3 linked regions of the Struthio camelus genome follow. The protein of the gene in region 2 interacts with the protein of the main gene of each other region in a biochemical or structural test. Links are inferred from orthologs where the notes say so. Each region holds a gene or a part of one and is shown on either strand. Other genes may lie near its edges.

Region 1 (6,967 bases), on a different chromosome or scaffold from region 2:
ATGAATTTGTGCATGCAGGGGTGTGTTAAAACATGCTTAACAACCTATCTGGGAAGAAAGCATTAGAGTATCCTATACTTAGAGTCAGTAAGATTCTAAAGATAGTACTACTGCTTTTTGCTGTCCACTGAAAAAGAAGTGAAAGGCTTCACACCACGTTACTTATATCACCATATAAAGCTAACAAGGAACATGAAGGGTTTTTCCTAGTCTCAATGACAGTTTTAAAACTTTCAAAGCTTTGTGCTTACCCCAGAGTAACTCAAGTAGAGCCTAAGCTAAAGCAAAACCAAGCAGAAAATATTAAATAAGTAAATAGGTACCCTACAGACAGGGTTTAAAGGAACCTCAGTCCCCTTAAATCAGCCTGATAACAAGAGCCTTGAACGTGTTGATGAAGGCAATTCCTTCTTCAAAAGTTTGACAAAAATTGGCTGCTAGTCAGCGGGATGCAGTTCAACTTTAGTACTGGATGACATGAGCTCTATTCACAGCCAACAGTAGAAAAAAACCACCAATTACAGACGCTGGAAATTAACTATAAACACTAACTGGTAGCAGAATCCTACACACAAGTGAAAGTTCCACTGTGGAGATAGTACACTTAAGTTTCACAGAAATATTGGCATAAATAACCTGAAAATATTTTTAATATCCAAGTGGGAATTAAACAAAGCATGACAATTTATCTAAACCAATATAAATCAGGAACAGAAGTCTATGGGCCACTACACAACATCAGATGGCATAACCATGACCTCTTGTCGTAGAGGCTGTAAGTTCTCTCTCCCCATTTTGGAAGATCACATACACAAATTACCACCTTGTTTATCTATCACACAAATAGGTCTTAACTCAACATTAGAAATGAAACTGAAAGTTACAAAATTCTAAATGTGACCCATTAAGTCACACTGTGCACCTGACAGATTTGCTTTGGGCAGCTGCTAAGAGAGTATCATTCAGCACTCTTTCTCTTGGGAGGACTTCCTACTGCACCATTATTACTGTGAGATGCTTGCCAGGGCTGCCGATACATTTTCCAGCTATAGATATAGGATGAGTACATATTTGCAATGCAGTCAGCCACATCTGCCTACAGCACTTACATTCATCCAGTCCCAGCTGATAAGCCAGGTTCTGCAGGCCTCGAACCTTCTCCATCAGGTTAGCAGTAGTGAGGCTCCCCAACTCTAAAAACACAGAAAAGCATGATTTTTAACAGCGTATAGCCCTCTAGTGGCAATGTACCTGGGCTTACTACTTCACAGAGCACCTTCAAGTCCAACTTTTGACAATACCCGTTTCCACTGAACAAAATACATTCTTTAACTCTCACATTTCAAATCTCAGAAGCACGAAAGACTTATAACAACCTCAAAGTCGTTTTGCTTGCCAGAAATGCTAGGATCCAATGGTTCAAAAAATCACCGATAGTGAGAAAAATATCTTCACCTTTGTAAGCTCTCTAGCAGAAGCTTATTCGCACTACATATTTAAGCGAGCCTGTCTAGTTTCATGCAAACAGGTACCATTATCATTGCCTAAGGCATCACCCCAGGAAGCGTATTCTGCTATTTTTCTTCTTTGTTATTGCCATAGAGTTCTTCATGATCTTGTCTTACGCTATTTCTAAGCGGTTGAATTCTTTGAGTAAACTAATTCTTCCAGATCATTAGCATGGACAGCTTTTGAGCATCGATCCTGCTGTGTTCATTCCTTCACAACTCAGTACACTAGGCACTACTGAACCACAGCCAAGCAGTGGTATTCACATAGTCACCCCAAGTAGGTAGAATCTATTGCCTTAACCCTTTAGTTACACTGCAGTTGGTAGTGCTCCATGTCATTGAAAAATATTAGTGGATTCATGTGACATAGCTTGCTCTACACCACATTTTAAGAAAATATCGTCTACTTAGCTGTTCCTCCACCTGTCCCTTCTCTCCCCTTAAAAAGGAAACAAAAAAAACCCCCACCCATCTGCTTTAGTAATCTTACCTGCTACTCAAAGGCACTGCCCATACTCACCCTTTAACATATCAATATCATCATTTTCTAATTCAGCCATCCATTTGGGAGGAGAACTAGTAATAGGCTGTTTGAGGGGAAAAAAAAAAACATAGCTCAGAAAAGTGTATTTATAGCAGCATACAAACAAAATGTGGTCTAGGATTCTAGAAAATACTCACACTGACAGTAAAAATAAAAGGATAATAGGTGCTCTGTAGAGATTTTCCTACACTTAACCTAACTTTCTAACTTTTTCTATAATTTTTGAAAGTAACACCAGTACATACCACTCAAAAGCTGAAAACAGCATAAAGAACAGCATTTTCTACAGTTTTTCTAAAAATCTTTTATTTCTTCCAAGAACCAACACACTACATTCACAACAAGGTATAAGAAGAGAAGCAAAGGCTTATACTGAAACATTCTGAAGTTACAGTTAAGAAATATTTTAGAGAAAAAGGTCACGAAGCTCACAACAGGAAAAAGCAGATCTATCAACAGGCAGGAAACGGGAAAACACGAGGTGCAAACTAAACGTTGCTTACACTTTTGAAGGAGGCAGCAAATTCAGCAACACCTGGTACTGAAAAAAAAGAAAAGAAAACACCAGGTGAGCGGTTGCGGCTACAGAGCACTACGGCCTCCTGCCCATGGGCAAGGCCGCTACCGCCTGCCGAGACGGAGGGGCCCCACCAGGCCCCCCGAGGCGCTGAGGCCAACGAGGGCCACCGGGCTCGGGGCGGGACTTACGCTGCTCGGGCCACAGGTCCGGGGAGGCTCGGTCCAGCTTCTCGAAGCTCAGCAGCGAGGCCTCCAGGTCCGCGCCTGCAACAGACAGGGATGAGCCTCCACACAACCCACCAGCGAGGAGCGGCACCCCGACCACCCCCTCCCGCCTCACCGTCCCCGGGAGCCGCCATCTTGCCCGTGTCACGTGACCCGCCGCCACGGCCCGCGGGATCCGCCCACGTGACCCGCAACCCCCGCCCCCGAGGCCCAGCCCCGAAACCTCACGTGTCGCTGTGGCCGCCGCCACCAGGAGGCGTGGCCGCCCGCCGACGCTCGGCCAATCCGAGCTGCGACGGCCAGTGGGCGTCTTGGGGCGGGCGGCCAATGGGCACCCCGCAACGGTGGGCGGTGGGGCCGGGGGGCGCGGCGAGGGGGCTCTCCGACGGCGATTGGCCGAGAGCCGCGAGGGCGGTCCAGGAGGGGGCGGGGAGTGGGCGAGGCCGGCGCCCAAGCGGCCAATGAGAGCGCGGGGGCGGTGCTTCGGGCCGCGGCGGGTCGGGGCGAGGGGTGCCGTCGGGGGGCGCGGCGCAGCACTCTGGCCCGGGATGGCGGCGGCGGCGGCGGCGGCGGCGCGCGGCGCCTGGGGCGGGCGGCGCGCGGCGCTCAGGGTGAGGCGGCGGCAGCGGCAGCCGTTACCCCCCCGCTCCTCTCCCCACCCTCCCCCCGCCGTGGCGGCGCGCCGCGGCTCGGTTCGGCCCGGGCGGCGCAGGGGGGCGCGGCCCGCCTGGCTCGGGAGCCCCGCGCGGGGGGCGGCGGCGAGGGGCTGCGGCGGCGGGGGGAGCAGCCGGTGCGGCCCAGGAAGGGCGGGCAGCGCGGTGGCGGCGCCGCTGGGTCGGCGGCTGCCTGGCCCGGGGTGGGGGCGGGCCGGGCCGGGGGCGCTGACCCGCCGTCGGGAGCGCTGCCCGGAACCGCGTTTGTGTGTGTTTCCGTCCCGTCCAGCTGCCGCGGAGAGCCGGTGCCCCTTGGATCGCCTCAGCCGCCGCCTCCTCCTCCTCCTCCTCGGTGGTGAGTCCGGCGCCGCGGGTCAGAGCCAGCGGGCGGGGGGCGGCGGGGGAGCCCGCCCCGGCCCCAGCCCCGAGGAGCCTCTCTGGCTTTGCTCCTGACACAGCCAGAGACTTTATTCCAGTCTGCTCTTTTGAGGTCGTTTCTGTCGGTTCGCCTCCCCGTGACTCCTGCCTGGCATCTCTGGAGCAAACACTGGCGACTCGCAGGGAACAGGGCACGGAGGGCCCCTTTGGTCAATAGGAGGAAAGGAAAGAAAAACACTAGTTAGACGTCAGATGTGTTTGACTCCAGAGTGAAGGAGTACCAGCTCTGACTGAACGCTCCCTCCTTGAGCTGTGCTCTAGCCGTTAGTGCAGTTATCCCACGTTACTTTTTCTATCGACTCCTGCGCGTGTACCTAAGGACGATATGCTAGTTCGGTTGACCACTGCTTGGTGTTTTGTTTTCTCCGTGTTTATTAAATAGCACACAGTTTACTAAGTAGCCAGGTTTTTTTCTGATTTTTAGACTTCCTTTGCTGTGTGTGATATATCTTCAGTTAGTTAGAGCAGCAAAAAATAAAGAATATGTGATTAATGATCCTGTGTGAAAAAAAGGTTATGTTAAGTTGTATGACTGGCCTCACGTAGTCCATCTATGGCAGAGACAGAATCTGCTTCTCTTAGGGCAGTATTTAACTGCTTTAGCTAGTATAGTATCTTTTCTCATCTGCTATCCACAACTGTACAGTTTCCAAGTTTGGAACAGATAAATCATGATTGTCCAAAAAGTCTGCTTTTCCACAGTCATTGTTCCCAGAACAGGCTCATTCTCTAGAGAAGAAGAGCAGGGGCATCTTATGGAACAAGTACAGTCAATATTGATTCTAGCATTTCCTAAACTGTAGAGTGTAATTTTTCCTTGCATGAGGAATTCCCTAAATATGTTTTTTCAAATTGCTTAAAAAAGGTAAGTTCCATTGTACCGAAGCCCACATGGGTCATGTAGCTTTGGAGCCTATATGTCCACTGCAGATATGTGCTACGTGGGCTTTTTTTTTTTTTTCTACTCTCATCCGCTTTTGACTCTTACTGCTTGTCCAGCCAATCCCATTTCTTTTCCTGATTCTTCCTCTCATCTCTGTCCCTTCATTATGCCTTGGAAGGCATTGCAATCCTCATCTCTCTCATAATTCTATGGCCTAATTTCTTTCCTTCACACAGCTCCCTGATATTTTTTTTTTATATTCTAATCTTTTTGTCAGGCATGTCCCATTTCTGTTCTTCATACTGCAGGTCTGTTTCCCCTTTATCTTATCTGTTCTCCCCACGCCACTGCTTTCTGACCTCGTCTCCCTGCAGTTCTTTATCCTTCCTCGCTGTTCTCTGCATGATTAACTGGTTCCCGCTTTCTCCTGGTTCTCTCCTTACCTCCCAGTATCAACTCTGTACTCTTAGTATCCAGTTTCTTCATTTATGCAGTCCCATTCTGGTTTCCTGCTTGCTACAGTCTTGTTGCCTATCCAGTGATAATTACAGCTTCTATCCCTGCTTTTCCTCCTGCCCTAAATTTAGCTGAACTTTTATTCCAAACTTTGCTTTTCTCTGTTCTGCGCCTGAATTGCAGAGTTCTGTCCCCCATGCTGCCTGCCAGGACAATCGCTGTGACTTCGGTGGATGTAGTTTCCTTGCTTTTAGTTCCAAGGCCAAAGGACCATTCAGTTTTATGCCTGCAGCTATGAGCTGGGGAGGTGACTGACTTAGTGGCTTGATGGGAATGAAGTGTGTAGTACAGTCTGCACTGGGTACATGGAATTCTCACGAGGTGGAAATATTCACCATTTTTTCTGAATATTTATGAATTGCAATTTTTCAGTCTTCTAACTTGGTAAACTTTGGGTGATTGAGTAGACTGAAATACTTCTGAATATAAGCATAACAATGTATTTTTTCTTGAACTGCTTTTAGAAAGAATTATGGCCAATTCCATTAAAAAAGGCGGGGGGGGGGGGAAAGGGTGGACAGCATGAAAAAATTCAGCCTGAAGAATTAGCTGGACATAACTGTAAAGTATTGGGACTTTGCCCTCTAACAGGCAGCATAGCAGTGAGTGGTGAAGGCCTGCCTGTAATAAGGCACGTTAGTGTGTAGGCACCTTGAGGCAAAGATCACTCATTGTCCCGTGTTTGTCTTCCACAGCCAACAACCAAACTGTTCATTGATGGGAAGTTTGTTGAGTCCAAAACTACTGAATGGATCGATATCCACAACCCAGTAAGTGAAATGGCCTCTGCGTATCTATCAGCAGTCACTGTGCAGCAAGGGTCTGTGCCTCCATTGAGTCATCTGGTGGGAGGGAAAAGTACCTATATTTCTTGAGAAAGTCTTAGACTTGGAGAATAAGACAGATTTAGAACTGTGCAATTGCTTCTCAGTTGCATCTTCATATGAAATGTCAGTCTTAGGAAAGTGATGACCTCCTTTCTCTCCCTTGTGTAGTAAAACCCAAAGCCATTTTATCCAAATATCCAAAGAGGAAGTTTAAACACTACTTACCTTTCTTTTGCTCATGGAAAGGCTTTGAGAAGAGTATTGCAAATTTCGGAAGGATTTCTTTCACCCTGTATGTATGCAACCTCGTGTGATTTGATGTCAGCTAAATGTAAAAGTCCTTATAGAGATTGATTTCACTCTCAGACCAAGGGGAACATCCTGACAGCTGAAGCTCCTCCTCTCTCCTTTGAGAGAGCTTCTATCTGTGAGCCACAATATTCACAGTGAATTTAGACACTTGATGCTATGCAATGCAAAACTTAACTTAGATTAGTAGCACTTGCACCCATCTCAGTTCTACACCAAGGACAAATGGAAATGGGACTGTGTTCAAGGTTCTGACCTTGCAGTAAGCCTTTGGACAGCAGTTTCTGAAGCTTTTCTCTGTAAAGCCTTATTTTCATGAAGCTCATTTGGTCTCTGTGGAGTCTCCATTGGCTGTGGAGCAGCCATCGTTCTTGTTTCCTTTCGTTCCTGTTGTACTTGTAGTTTCTCTCTTAGTGACGTACCTGATATTTTGTCATGTCAAAGCAGATTTCATTTTTAAGAGTGCACTAGAAGGAGGTTAAACTGGTAAAGACAGGATTTAAAAGTTAAAATATTATAGAACTAAAGCTGATCATAAAAAT
Region 2 (6,915 bases):
CGGTCACGTTACTCCGTGTGAACTTAACATGGGTGCGATAAGTCATTTATGAGCATCATATGTAAATTCCCACTCTCAACAAAACCCATATACTTTAAAAACTGATAAATTCCTGATTACTACATCATTATTTTACACAAGTAATAGAACACTACTCATAAACTGTCGTTGAAAATTCTTGGCTGCTATTTGGTAAAATTATCCTTGCTGCTGCTTCTCTGCAACTGTCCAACATGGGAGGAGGGGGGTTCCAATGACAAGTCCAAAATCTTCCTAAGTATTGAGTCAGTAACTTCAACATTGTTACTGATGTAAAAAACTTTCTATTAGCCTCGAAACAATTATAATGGGTGCACAATAATTTAAGAGTGTGAATTGTCCTCTTTCTTGATTTAAGACTATGTTCTGTATTCAATTTTGAACAAGACAGACTTCTTACTTTATTCAAAGAATATTCAAAATCAATGAATTAAACCTGTTAAGTCTTGGAGACTTTGCCGGAATTTTTAATTCACAGAAGAAAATGTAAATTTAACACAACACGCTCTACTTCAGACTGTAAATAAAAAAGTTGTAATTCTAAATAGTTCATATGAGCCAAAAACATTAAGCATATCCTACAAAAGTAGTCTCTCTCTGTATATATCTATATACCCCCCCCCCCCAAAGTTCACTAAACATATCTGGCTAATAGTTAACAGAAAAATACCAGCTCATATTCAAAATTAATTTCAGTGTTATTATTTTAAATGTATTAAGTAAAATTTTCCAAAAATATCTAATCTACAGATGTCAGGGTAAAGGGCAAGAAAAGGAGAAACAAGTTTTTCCAAAACTTCTTACGCCTACAGACTATTCCATTGACAGAAGTCAAATTATACACAGTTACAGGCAGATAACTGAATGCTACTACAAACAAAATGTTTGCCTATTTGTCGCCAGACATCATTGATGTATTCTTCAGTTTTACACTCCTTTTCTTAGGGAAAGGACACTGAAATACTAATAAAATAATAAAAAATTAAATTCTACCTATCTAGATCTCTGGGATATTATATTCATGTAAAAGTGACTGCATGTGCCTACTGGCAAAAGTTAACAGGACACACTCTTCATGATTAAAATGGTAGATTGTCAAAAACATGCTTGTTGATTTATTTTGTAGTCAGATACTCTCTGTTAATTTTAAAGAAAAATGAATGTTTATTTCCCCCAATAACTGTGGAGTAATAGGAGAACCAAGTAACAGCAGCAATCTAGACACATGATCAAAGAACCCCTGCATAGTCTTTGGACAGGCTAAACTGAAAACTTCAAAGCTGATTGAGATTCAAAAACGCACCCATTTCAAAATTCCTAATTGTAGTTCTTTTAATTGTGTATTCCGATTCTGGGGGGGGGGGGGGGGGGCAGGAGGAAATGCCACTTCACAGAGAGCACACTCTATGTTTCAGATGCAGTCTCTAATTTCCTCAGCAACACAAAGCTGAATTCCTACAAGACTGCAGGCAACCACTAAAATACAGAAGCACCTGTATGCCCGTGTGCATATGCCCAATGCTTCTCTCCCCTCTTCCCCACCCCACCCCACCCCCAGCCCAGATGACAGTAATCATACACAGGTACTCCTTCTTCATCGGCCTCCAAGTTCCCCACCTACCACGCGAGTCTCTTGCAGGGGTGCAGGCAGGGGCACCTAAAGCCTCCACCACAACAGGTGCCTGCTCAGCTGATTGTTCAACTCCTGACACCCTCCTCGCCCCCTCTCCCTGCTCCCAGACCGGGGCGAGACCTCGCACCCGCCCACCGCAGGGCGTTGCGCATAAGAGCGAGAGAAGCCAGGCAAACTCCCTTCCTCCATCTCCGGTCCCGCAACCCTCCTCGCCGCTCCGCTTCCCAATCCGGCAGCGACAGCCTCCCCTACACGCCGAGGGGAAAAAGGGCCGCAGAGGCGGCCGCCGCCTCCGAGCCGCGCAGAGGCCGCCAGCACTGCCCCCGGCCATTCCCGGCCCTCCCCAGAAGGGGGCAGCGGTAGGGAAGGCGGCGGGAAGGCCGGGTCCAAAGCCCGGTGCGGGTCCGGGCCCTGCCAGCTCCGGCCGGGGGCTCGGCGGGCCCCTGCGCTCTCCCCACCTCCTCTCTCTAAGATGGCAGCGGAGCTGCCCCCTGCGCTGCGCCCCCCTCGACCGCGCCGGGCCGGGAGGTGGCACCAGCTCGTCCCGCTGCGCAGCTCCCCGCCACCGGCTGAGGCGTCTCACTTACCCGTGGGGGGGGGGCGGCGGACCCCTGGCTGCCGCCCGGCTCCGGCCTCCTCTCCCGGGCGGCGGGCACACGCAGAGCGAGGAGCGAGCGCTTCCCCCGGCCTCGGCCAGGGGCCCCGGCACGGCAGCGCCTCCCTCTTGTGCGCTCCGCAGTCCGGCCGCCCCGCCGCGCTCGGGCCCGCGCGGCTGGCGGCGGTGCCGGTGCCGCTCGGAGTGCGGGGGGGGCGGGGGGGGGGCAGCAGCGGCCGCGGGGGCTGCCCGCAGCGCGCCTTCCTCTCCGGGCGGCGGACAGCGAGGGAGAGGGGGCCCGGCCCGGCCCGGCGGGCGGATCCGCGACGCTTCCTGGCCGGGTTGGATTTTCTATCGCTCACAAAATGGCGCGCGTTCCAAACCTGCGCAGCGCCCGGCGGCGGCGGCGGCAACGGCAGGGCCCGGCCTCGGCTCGGCGGCGGCGGCGGCGGCCTGAGCCCCGGCCAGGCAGCGCGGGGACAGCGGCGGGCGGGCGCGAGCGGGCGGGGGGAGGAGGAGGAGGAGGAGGAGGAGGGGATGATGGGGGGGGGAAGCGCAGCGCCGTACCGAGCCCCCGGGAACTCCTCGCTCCCTCCCTCCCTCTCTCCTTCCCTCCCCCGCCTGCCAGCCTCTACCTCCTCCCCCTCCCTCCCTCCCCGCCCGCTCCTCCTTCTTCCCCCCTCCCTCCAGAACCGGCTTCGCCAGGGCTTTGCGCCGGCCCCGCACCGCACCGCTGCCGCCGCTTCGAGCCTCTCCTCGCTCGCGTGGGGCGAACTTCTCGCCTGCCGCCGCCGGGCCCTCCAAGACAGTTTTTTGGGTTGTTGTTTTTTTCTTTTTTTTTGGGGGGGGGGGAGGGAATTCCGTTTTCTTGCTTGATAATTTTTTTTTTCGAAGTGGAGGTAGGAAGGGGAAAAAAAAAAAAACCTTCCACAATTCGGGCGGGAAGGGTGGGATTTTTTTTTGAAAAAAAAAAAAAAAAGCTAACTGACAAAATGGCGACGAGGGCGAGCCTGTTACTATGGCAACTGTCAATCACGCTACCCCTGCGCCCCACCCGGGCCGGGCGGGAGACAGCCGCTGACGTGGGGAGGGTGGGGAAGAGAGCGACGGGTAAAAGGCGGGGCTTGGTCGCCGGGGCAACTGCCGCCTCCCCTCGTCCCCCCCCCCCCCCCGCGCCTCTCCGGCATGTGACGATATCCGCGCCGCTGCGGGCCGGGATGGCCCCGGCGCTCTGGGGCCCCAGGCGGTGGGGGAGGGGCAGCGGCCGCTCCTTTCGCGCCGCGAGGCCGGTAACGGTAACGGCCGCTGCCTCGCGCTGAGCCGCGCGCTTCTCCGCCCGAGCCGCTTCCACGCCGCGGGTGCGGCGGGGCTTTCCCCGGCCTGCAGGTGGCGGGGCCCGCCCGGCTGCGGAGGGGCTAAACCCGGCGGCGGGCCGGGCGGCTCTGGAGGGAGCCTGGCCGCCCCCCCGCAGGGACGGGGGCCGCCCGGGGCGTTGTGGCCGCGGGTGTCCTTGCTCGGAGCTGGGAGAGGGCTGTCATGGGGGCTTGGTGGGCGCAGGGTTCCTCTCCATCTCGCACTGAAAGATGTATTTAAATATAGATATATTCATTTTTTTTAATAAATATTTTAAAAAGGTGTTGCTTCGTGTGGCACTCACGCTGTGGGTATGTGGTGGGGAAGGGAGCCTTGGGTTCTTGAGGGAAGACTTAATTCCACTTTTTATTACGGACCGGAATTAGGAACGTATACTACTAATGTAAATCTACGCTAGGGATTTTTTTTTGTTTTTCCCCCAGGAGCATCCATGAAGATCCAAAAAGTAAAATGTGGCCTTCATCTAGTATTTTAATTCTGACACCTGATTTTTTTTTTTAACCTTGTTGTTTTAGTTCACAGTCAGCCTTGCCCCTTGAAGAAATTAGGACATACTACTAACACTTGTGCCATTACTTTTTCTTCTTCTGTTTCCTTATTTCTTTCTGAATTTCAGAGCTAAAGGTAGGTGCAGTAACAGCCAAAGTAGTATGTCCCCAATTATCTAACCATAGCTGTACAAATGCAGTTTTACAAGCAGTTCAACTGAGCTAAGAATTTGTTGCTGTTGAAAATAGCAGTCCACCCTCTCCACCTCTAGCTATTTAGTCCCTCTGTGTCTTTTCTACAGCAACAGGAGTGCTAGCATAGAGTAATTGACACACCGACCCTGACAAAACAGAAAACAGGAAAACCTCTTTTGTACGGCTAGGATAGGGCAGGAACACACGGCAGAGGGAAGCCTGGGACCAGCCCATTGAGTAACAGCATGGGGTTAGGTTAAGTTAAGTCATCCATGAAATTGCACCTTAAAGCCATGGTAGGTGTTCAGGAGCAGCATGGTTTAAGTGGGTTTAAGCAGTCATTTCTCATTCCCCTCACTCCTGGAAAGACTGAGAGGTCACTTTAAGCTACACGTCTTTCTTCCCTAGAATATGATCAGAATGCAATTCTTACCCCAGGATGAGGAAAGCCAACATGCATATTCTGCAGTGTAACAAAGGCATACAGATTCACCTGCTTCTGCTCAAAAGACTCCCATGTTAATATTGTCATATTTTGTCCTAAGATATCTGCGTGCATGGTATATTGCACAAGAAATCAAAAATACCTAGAAAGCATTAGTTGTCTTGCGTAAGCTCAGTCCAATTGACCTCTAAGGAAGGGCAGCTCATACGCTGGTGACAGTGAGGTCTGTCCCCATCAGGATGTTGTAAATCTTGCTAAAATCTCCTTGCTACTCTGGATGGTGACATGGAGCAGCAGAAAAATGCAATGGAAGATTAGCTCTGTTGTTCAGTGTGGGTAGCTACAAAGCTCATACAAACATACTGTGGCATTTACTATATTACATTATGTTATACAGCATGTAACAACTTATAATTTTTTTGGCTAATGCTTAAACAGATTACGGAATTCTCATGCATTTGTGCACTTGCTCTGTAATCCTCTGCTTTTATTTTGTTGGCTATAGCCAAGCTTGCAGAGATGGGTATATGGCAACTGGAGCTGAGAACACACAGAGCGTGTAGGAAAAAGTTGAAGTGTCCTATTGGACATAAGGGGATGGCCTTTTTTTTTTTTGTTTTTGCCCAGCATATAACAACTACATAGTCTTGTTTTGTTGTTATAATCTTGATAATCAATAACCTACACTATTCTTCTCTTGTACAATAGTCTTCTCTTAAATGTCCATTACATTAAAAGCACATATACATACACACACAAACTGTCTACAAAATTTTTTGTTCAGTAACTCAACAGCTCAAAAGCATTGAAGCTGTTAATGGTTAAAATTAAGGAACAAGGCCCCCATGAACTAGAATTCTACCAGAATCCTGCTCCAGCCACAGATCTAGGGTGAGAGCTGGCATCAGGATGGAGTTGTCTGCCCATATGTATTGGGAGTAGGTCTTGTGTCTTCTACTGCAGGTAAGTTGTCTAGGGTTAGAGATCTTAGGGCCTTCCAGGCTGGGATTATACCAAAATCCTGCCCACCTGGAAAGCTAGCACATAGGCTGGTAGTAGGACAGAGCTTTATCTCATCACTAGTAGCTAGAAGTCCTCTTCTGTGCTGCAGGTAGAGAAAAGGTTGGGTCTAGCGTTTGGGAAGTGACGGTCTTCCAAGCAGAGACTCTCAGCTTGCAAGCAGTTAAGTTTTCTTCTGTTTTTAAAACCAGATCAGCTCCCTGATCTGTTATGTAACATATCCCACAAATGGTTGTTGTGGAATAACTGAAACATTGGTACTCCACAGACAGACATGAGGGGGAATAAGGGATAGAAGATGAGGGTATACATTAGCTGAGTTTGCTGGTGAACTCCATGCAATAGGCCAAAAGTAAACACAGACAGCAAGAGACCTAGAGCTCCTAAGAGATCAGCTTTGGAAAGAAGTAGTTGAAATAGAATATGTAAGAGAGAGACTGATCCAGAAGAAGGGGATCCAAACACTTGCTAACTTCTGCTTCGTTCCACATAATGAGGAGTTACTACATCTTACAATTTTTTCTTTAGGAAAAAAGGAAAGAGAGAGGAAAAGACTGAGAGAGGAAAGACTGATAATCCTTTTCTTCCCAGTTCTGCAATATTTTTTACTCTCCGTCAAAAACCTAAGGATGGTTTAGACAGCGTTTCAGTGTCACACTTTAAAACAGGATTTTGCATCTTTATAATCAAGTAGACTTCCTCCTAAGAAATACTTGGTTTTCTCTGCCCAACAGACACTCTGACCTTAGAACACACAGTATATTTTGGGTCGAAAAAGTAACAATAAGCAGAAAACTTGAGGACAAAATAAGAAAAAATAGTACCTAAAAAGAAAAATGAGGAGGAAAGAGTACAGTGTGGAGAAATAAGATCTGAGAGAAATAAAATTGAAAGAGGAGAAAAAATATACGACAGATTAGAAAAACAGAACAAATGCAGAAGAAACAACAAAACAGTACAAGGTTCTCTAAGTTCAATAAGTGCAAAGTGAAGCAATATAGAACATTCAAAGCATTGTACTATCCTAATCAGAAATTTAAAGTCAACCTTCCTTGACTATCTCTCTTTCTGCCTGTCTTTCAGTATGATTACACTGAAAAATATAATCCTTCCTGTTTTCCTCTAT
Region 3 (7,836 bases), on a different chromosome or scaffold from region 2:
TACTGCTTTTTACTCCTTGGCAGTGCCTGCTCCATCCCTCCCATGCCCTGGGGTTTCTCATAGCACCCAGAGACCCTGTTGGGACTACCTCTGGGTGCCAGGGTGATGGAGCTCCATGACCACCATAGGTGCCAGGGTGATGGATCCCTACAAGCATGTCAGGTGATGGCATCTGGAGCAGGGCTGCAGACAGCGCACCCATGCCAGCAGGGCCAGGGGATGCTAGAGACAGAAGTGCTGAGATCTCTCCTCCCCTTCCAGCCACCCCCCTGGACGTCCCCAACATGTTCAGCTTCTGGGAAGACCGAGAGCCGAACCATAACCTGGAGCCCCTGCAACACATCTCCTTGGTGCACAGATCCCGGGACATCCCCTTGTCTGACGACTACAGACCGGGACAGATTGAGTCCAGGCTGGAGCTCCTGCAGGCCCAGCTCACCAGGTGGGGCAGGTCCCAGGTGTGGGGTTGAAGGGCACCTAGGGGGTCTCTGGGCCATCACCCTGTCCTGCTCCCCAGGGGTGGCTGCATCAGGCTCTGTTTGCAGCATATGCCACCTCCTGACCCTCTGGGAGATTGCACTCCTTGGGGAAGTGGTAAGAGCGCTTTGCAAATATAGCAGCTGCTTGAACTGCAAGTCTTGGCCTGACTGTGGCCTAGCACCTTATCCATTGCTGTCCCACCACCTCTGGGCACAGCTGCTTTGCTGCTGCCTCCAGTCTTGATGCAATCACAGACATGAAACCACCCAGAGGCTCATGACCTGAGCCCTTTGCAGGGCTCCTCTTCCTGTTGCAAAGAGCTGCAAATCTCCTCTTGCTTGAGCAAACGAGGCCTGTGCAGATCATTGCCCTCTAAACAAGAAAAGGGACACATTTCCGGATGAGAAGGAAGCACCACCCACACCAGAGATGCAGGTTTAAAGGCCCCGGGCAGCACCCACGCTGCTGCCTCTCAGGTCTTGCTCTCCTGCACAGGGGTTTTACCCACATCATCCAAATGCCACTTACCTCCTCGGGGTGTGGAGCAGCCAAATCTGTCTGTTCGGTGCTGCACCAGTGAGATGCACTGTCTTAACGCCGGGTTGCTCTGTCCCCAGGCTGGAGTCCAGGATGTCGTCAGACATTAATATAATCCTCCAGCTCCTGCAGCGCCAGCTGTCCCAAGTGCCACCAGCGTACAGCCCCATCTCGCCGTCCTCCCACAACCTGGCCATGTACGGCATAGTCCCGCGGAGCCTGGAGCCGCTCACCCCCTGCGCACCCCTAGAGGAAGAGGAGCGGACAGCCCCAGGGCAGGTAAGGCCACCACTCCTAGCTCAGCACCAGCGGAGCCTTCTTCCACCTCCAGTAGACAGGTCCACGCAGTGCCAGTGTTTCTCTCCAGCCTTCCTATACACAAAGCGCAGCCAGGCTCAAGGGCCCAAGCAAAGCCCAGGGGTCTTGAAAAAGCAGCACATCTACCTGGAGATGCTTCTGCACAATGCACTGCTGGTTTCAGGGGCATCTCCAGCATGAGCAGGCTGCCCAGTCAATGGGGAGGGGAGTGGGTTCCTCTGCTCTGAGGTCCCCTCAGGGAAAAAAGATATTTTGGGGTTTGGAGCCTCATGGGGTGAGGAGAGACTGGGGCTACATCGTTTTGCTTTTGCCATAACCGACTTGATTCCTCCTTTCCCCCCAGAGCCCGAGCTACACAGAGGTAGATAAGTTCCACTTGAAATCCAGGGAGTCCTTGTCAAGCGGAATACACCTGACTGTGGCATCTGACGAAACCATGACGATCTACTCCGAGCAGGAGCACCATTCCCCAATTCTCCCGCACCCAGAGCCTCCTCACCAAAGGGCACCAAATACCCAGGGACTCTGCCGGGGCTCTCGCTTCCCTTCCCTTCCTGAGCACTTGGAGGCATCTTCAGAGCACCAGGACATTCAGAGACACCTCTCCGACCCTGTGCTTCCTGGAAGTTAGAGCTGTGGCGGCTGCAAAGCGAGTCAAGAGGAACCTCAACTGCGAACTCATTCAGTTGATGTTGACGTTGACTGCCAGGGTAAGATGGAGGACAATGCCTTTGGCTCAGGGGTATAATTTGTAGCTGTCTTCTGCCACCGTGAAAGGAAGCATAGAGTGGCTGGCTTCCAAGATCAACATTTTCCAGTGGATCCCATAGAGTAGATTTCATTTGCACATTATAGCGAACCCAGAACAGTTCTTTCCTGTGGCCATCAACAAGCTGGGTAAGCCAAACAGCACCCACCTCCTCTTCCTTGCCAAGGCTTCCTCCCAAGAATAGTGCAAGCCAAATGAGCCACAGCAACCGGAGGAGGGCAAATCCACAGAGCTTAGCTGCGAGGCCACTTTGCTGTCAGCTCTTTGGAGCAGGGACCATTGTGTTGGCGCTGGGCTTAGCCCAGCAGAGCCTGAAGGCACTGGCTTTACAGAAAGGGTAGTCACCAGAGGAGGAGGAGAACTGCACAGTGCAGTACTGGGGGGAGCTACAGGGGTGAAGCCCAGGACAAGGACAGAGGACAGAAGCCATTCCTGTCCTACCTGACTGCCACTGAGAAACTAAGGGCCGACAACCCCCACCACTCCAGCACGCTTCAGCACGAGTCCTAGGGCACTGACTTCTCCAGCAAGGCTGGTTGCACTTTGCAAACCCCAACATGCGTATCCCACAACTCCCCAGATGAATCCAACTGTTCACTGGCCTGGGCATAAAGCACAAAACTCAAAAGCACAATCCCAGAAAGCCGAAACGCCCCACACATCTCATGTCCAGCCTTTCCTCCTAGCTTTTCTCTTTTGATAAAAGTTTGATAGATGCTTCCTCTTCCCTAGACCTTTCCCAGCAGACTCCTGCAGCATCCCTTATAGGAGAAGCCCACTTAGCACTGCCACCTTGCCGTTCGGTTAGACGCTGTAACAGTCCTAGGCCGCCTGCTCAAGTAATATATTGAGCTCCCTTTGAGAGTAGTAAAACTGTGAGCATCTCTTTCTCCGGAGTTTTAGTGTACACTTTGCTAATAAAGATGTTTTTGGCACCTAATGTGGATTGCAGCGTGTTTGTTGGGAGCATCAGCAAATTCATCCCTGGCAGTAGCTTCAGGGTCCAGGTCCTCGTCTGTAAAGACCCTTGAGAAGATCGTGGTCAAACCCCAGATGCTTCTGCCAGGGACTATGGTGCTAACGGAGCCCATGAGCAGATCTTACAGATCAAGGATGAGGTCTGCTGGGTGTTTGCTGAACAATTTCTTCCCAACAGGATGCAGTTTGGTCTCAGCAGCTCTTTGCAAAAGCTTTTTTACAAGACCAGCCAGCTACTATTCCCCTGCATAGGTGAAACGATCTAGCAAACACACCTCAGGTAGTGATTACGCCAAGAGTCCTTAGAGCAAGCGGGATGTCAGATGACCATACTGATACCAGAACCCGCTCTACATCCCTTGCTAAAGGAGACACAGCTCTGGGTCCTGTCCAAACTCAATGGCTCCATAAGGAGAGCTGAGCCCAGGTTCACCCATAACTGATCCCTTCTGCTCCCAGCTGAGCCCTCCTGCCTTGGAGAGCCGGGGACTTCAGAGGGCGCAGGGCAGGCACAGCACAGGGACCAGAGCGGCTCAGACTGGGGTGCCCTGAGAGGGGGGCTCCGGGGAGCACCAGCACTGGGCTCGCATGCTCCAAAAATGCCAGGAGCACCCTCCTCCTCCAGGCAGGCCCTCGCGAGGCACTGCCAGCCCTCCCCTGCCCTCCAGCCCATCTGGCTCCACACGGCTGAGTGGGGGGCTGCCCTCAGGCCCTGGCTCCACGCCCAGCTCCAGCAAAGCAGCTATTTATACCCGGCGCCAGCTCAGGTTTCCGCTCCCCATGGCGGGGACGCCGCATCCCCGCACCGTGCCGCCTCTCCTGCTCAGCCCAGAGAGCTGGGGAGCCCCAAGGCCCTCAAGGGACCTGCATGAGCACCTCAGGAGCAACTGTACCCGCATCGGGTCCCCGGGGCAGCCGCGACAGAGCCAAATAGCTGCCCGGCCTGGGCTGCCACGGCTCCTCGGCCCGCAGGCCCAGGGGCTCACGCCAGGCGCGCTGGGCCGCAGCCTGTCCCCGTCCAGCCAGGAGCTGCCTGGGAAGCCCGCACAGGCTCCTTCCCCAGGTAAGGCTCAGGGAATTGCTCCAAGGCTGTTAAGTGCTACCAACAATAAAATCCGATAATTAAGCTTCGGTTAATTATAGATAAACGCAACCCTGTCAGGCACTCGGCGGAGGCGGGGCTCGAACCGTTAACCCCAGCGCGCGCCTGAAGTGCTCCACCGCCTCCAACTCACGTGACTGACACCTCTTCCTGCCAATCCGTTATCAGTAAGGTCTCAAGACCCCGCCTCATGCCACTGCGACCCCTAGCAGCCAATGGGATTTCAAGAACGAGTATGGCCTCCGTCTGGGGTGGGATCAAACGCAACGGTAGGTTACCTCACTCAAGGGGGCTAGCGTCCGTTTGGAATGATGGGTAAAACGACCAATAGAAAGCCAAAGAGGGCCAAACGGACGGGAGAATTACCCAATAGCTGCTCGAGAAGCTAAGTGACAGGCCAGGCAGCCAAGCCGTGTGCAAGGGGCGGGGCTCCCCGCGTGGCTTCCGCTCCCGTTGTGTGAGGGACCGAATCCCAAACGGCCTCCGCGCCGCTCTCGCCGTCGCCGGGTTTGGAGCCGGGCCCGGGGGCGCGGTGCCGTGCTGCGGCCTCGCCCCGCTCGCTGCCGCCTCGCCTCGCCCGGCCCGGCCCGGCCCGGCCCGGCCCGGCCCGCGCTGCGCCGCGCCCGCTGCCGCCTCGTCCGGCCCCGCTGCCCTCCGGCGGGCCCCGCGGCCCAGCCCGGGGCTCCCCCGCTTCTCCTCCTCCTCCGGGGCCCGCGGCCACCGCTGCCTCGCCATGTCGCTACACGGGAAGCGGAAGGAGATCTACAAATACGAGGCGCCCTGGACCGTGTACGCCATGAACTGGAGCGTCCGGCCGGACAAGCGGTTCCGCCTGGCGCTGGGCAGCTTCGTGGAGGAGTATAACAACAAGGTGGGCGGCGCCGGGGCAGGAGCGCGGCCCGCTCCCTTCCCCCCCACCCCCGGGACAGCGGGGCCCCCGCACCCGGCACGGCCCCACCGGGGGTACCCTGAGGGGGGGGGCTGCGCGGCGCCGTCAGCCCCTCGGCGGGCTGCAGCAGCGCGGGGGGCCGGGCCGCTCAGGCTGCTGCAGGCCGAGGGGCTGGGGCCGGGGAGAGCAGCGCGGGGGCTGCTCCTCGGCGAGGAAGAGCTCCTAGGTACAGCGTACAGGGCTTCTGCGCAGGGCGCTGCAAAGTTTTACGGCAGGGCTCGAGTTTGTGCTTGTGCGGGCTGCGTAAGGCTTTGCTGGAAGCGTTATGCCCTACTTGTCTTTTAGTGCTGTGGAGGACTTGTGCGCAGTAACTTTCTTTCTTTTTTTTTAATATATAAACTCTTTTTGTTGATCCTTTAGTTCCTTGCCCCCTCTCTGGGGGCAAGAATGTCCTGAGGCATAAGATTATATCCTCACTATTTCCCTGCCAGGTATAAGCAAGGGACCTAACACTGATAGTACAAGCCATGTCATCACCTCTTCAAATACATGCCCAGTCCTTTTCTGGACAGACTCTAGTGTGCTGAACTGATGCAGTGAATGCATACAGTTGGAGGAGAAATAAAGAAACAGCCATACCTATAGAGCGTAATAAACTTGTGTGAAACTGAAGAGTTTGTAAGTACAACTTTGTACGTAGCCTGTGTGTCTTGCAGCTTTGCCAAGCTGTTTAATAGGATTGCGGAAAATGATATTGGAAAAGTTGGTGTTGGGAATGGGGCTTTGTGCAAGGCTGTAATGAGATGAGGTGACCGTACGGCTGGAGTGGACATCTCTTGCAGTAGTTAGCTTACTGCTTTTGCAGTACTCTAAGCAGTGATACTTGTACCGAGCGCTTTGTATCGTAGTCCGATTACTGGCTGAACGTGAGTTGTCTCCTCATGTGTGTGAGTGTTGTTGTGGTTCTGGGGAAAGGCAGGTCACTGGTCTTGAAAACTTTCTATTTGTTTAGAGACTAACTTTAAAATGCTTTGTGTAGCATGTACTGTGAGAACCTAAAATAACAAATGCAAGCAATATTTTGTTTAGAAGTGGTAGAGTTCATTAATAAGCAGGTATAGTTCTGTGCTGTCTGCGGACAGGTAACAGAGTGAAGCTTTATGGTGCAGAAGGGTGATTTATGTGACCTTTAACTCCTTAAGTCTGGACCGTTCCCTGGGGTTGCCCTAGATTAAGACAGGATCTGCTTTTCAGTCCAGACTTTTCAAGTGAAAAGCAGTTGAGTCAACCAGTGGCTTTTCCGCCCTTTACATTCACAGTTGTTGCAGACGGAAATTGTGTAGGACTATGTAAATTACTGCTGTCTGTAAACATTTCCCCTGGATTCTTTTGACCTCTGTGCTTCAGGGATAACTATTATCCTGTTGACTTCAGTCCCTGTAAAGTGCTGTGCACTATATAATTGTATGAGAATGAGATGCCTGTCTGGATGCTGCTGCTATAGAAACAAAGAAGATGCGTGGTTAAAAATTAAGCCTGTACAATAAATCTAGTGTAATATGACCTTCACTTTGCTGAGATGTTTTGCTATGTCTGATGCTACAGAGTGTGTATTTTTTTTTTTTTTTTGCAGTTGTGAAGTGCTTTCAAAGGTGCCCTCCAAATAGGAGGGTCATTGACAGAGAGAGCTGTCTTAGGTAAATGTAAGTGTTGTTATTGCTTAGAGTATTGTTATTGTCTCCTTTACTTGGAAGACCAGAAGGAGCTTGCTTGGGAGTAGTTTTTCAGTTGCACTGTTTTTTTGGTGACTTACTGTGACTTTTGCCACTCCTCTGAATTCTGTGGAGGACACTGAAATATTTAGGAAGGAAATGACTTCGTACTCTGGATTTTGAACTGCTGGACAGATGCTGTCTGGTCATGTCAGGGACGTGCTAGCTGCAGACTCTTTCAGCTCCAGCTTCTGTCTGTTCATGTGAGTGGTACAACCAAAGGAACAACAGGAAAGAACTGAAGTTGTCCTGTTTATGTAGTTGATACCATTGTGCTGCAAAAGATCTAGAGCTTTTGATTTTATATCCGAAGTTCAGGGATAAGCAGCTGTTTAAGACTTTCAAGGAACTTCCATTTCATTTCATCTGACTCAGCAGTCATAATCTTAGGAGGCTTCTTAGAAATGTTGTTTGGAGCTCCTATTCCTGATGTTGCAGTGTTTTGTTTGAGAAAAATTGGCTTCCTTCCTTCCCCTTAATATGTTAAAACATCAGTCTGGAAAAGCAATTCTAGCTTTCTAAAAATCTAACCCAACAGCTGAAAATACCACTTCCTTATTAATCTATTGTTTTATTTTGAAAAGGGGGTGGGGGGGGTTAAAAAGTTCTGACGCACCGAGTGTTCACTGCAGCAGAAGTGCCTGCTGTGGGGTAGTGTAGTAAATGAGAGGACAGATTCTCTAAGTTTCTATTTCTGTAATAATTACCAGAGCTTGAAGTACCCGATGGGTTACAAATATAAAATGGCTGTTTATGCCTCTGTTTTGTGGGGAATTCAAATACATTAACTGCCAAACCCTGATTTATTGCTATCTCCAATTCCCAGACTCTCTTAACACTGTCAACCCTCTCCCCACCACTAACGAGCTGTGTAGTATACCAGAAAGCTAGTTACCAACAAATGTGTGAACCCCAAGGGAGTTTTGTTTCAGCTCGTATACCTTTGCTGATGAAATCACTGGCATGTGAAGAGAGATGACTTTGCTGTAGT

What was found. The genes of interacting proteins can lie anywhere in the genome.
Region 1: of the proteins of DYRK1A (region 2) and LIN52, one has a biochemical effect on the other in vitro, tested with the Homo sapiens proteins (3 studies listed by BioGRID). The link is inferred for Struthio camelus from reciprocal best matches to the Homo sapiens genes DYRK1A and LIN52.
Region 3: the proteins of DYRK1A (region 2) and DCAF7 form a complex in vitro, tested with the Homo sapiens proteins (2 studies listed by BioGRID). The link is inferred for Struthio camelus from reciprocal best matches to the Homo sapiens genes DYRK1A and DCAF7.

The regions. Positions count from the first base shown.
Region 1 is NC_090946.1:57,307,902-57,314,868, reverse strand, and holds the start of LIN52 (protein lin-52 homolog), read right to left. Parts: upstream 3,020-6,967; 5' UTR 2,934-3,019; coding exon 2,915-2,933; intron 2,839-2,914; coding exon 2,764-2,838; intron 2,597-2,763; coding exon 2,559-2,596; intron 2,099-2,558; coding exon 2,032-2,098; intron 1,194-2,031; coding exon 1,110-1,193; intron 1-1,109. Other genes in the region: ALDH6A1 (methylmalonate-semialdehyde/malonate-semialdehyde dehydrogenase [acylating], mitochondrial), read left to right, coding at 3,348-3,410, 3,742-3,807, 5,985-6,059.
Region 2 is NC_090942.1:122,405,706-122,412,620, reverse strand, and holds the start of DYRK1A (dual specificity tyrosine-phosphorylation-regulated kinase 1A), read right to left. Parts: upstream 3,019-6,915; 5' UTR 2,999-3,018; intron 2,433-2,998; exon of another isoform or gene 2,260-2,432; intron 1-2,259. UniProt on the Homo sapiens protein: Dual-specificity kinase which possesses both serine/threonine and tyrosine kinase activities. Exhibits a substrate preference for proline at position P+1 and arginine at position P-3.
Region 3 is NC_090966.1:4,187,974-4,195,809, forward strand, and holds the start of DCAF7 (DDB1- and CUL4-associated factor 7), read left to right. Parts: upstream 1-4,817; 5' UTR 4,818-4,917; coding exon 4,918-5,055; intron 5,056-7,836. Other genes in the region: KCNH6 (potassium voltage-gated channel subfamily H member 6), read left to right, coding at 262-442, 1,098-1,296, 1,679-1,966. UniProt on the Homo sapiens protein: Involved in craniofacial development. Acts upstream of the EDN1 pathway and is required for formation of the upper jaw equivalent, the palatoquadrate. The activity required for EDN1 pathway function differs between the first and second arches.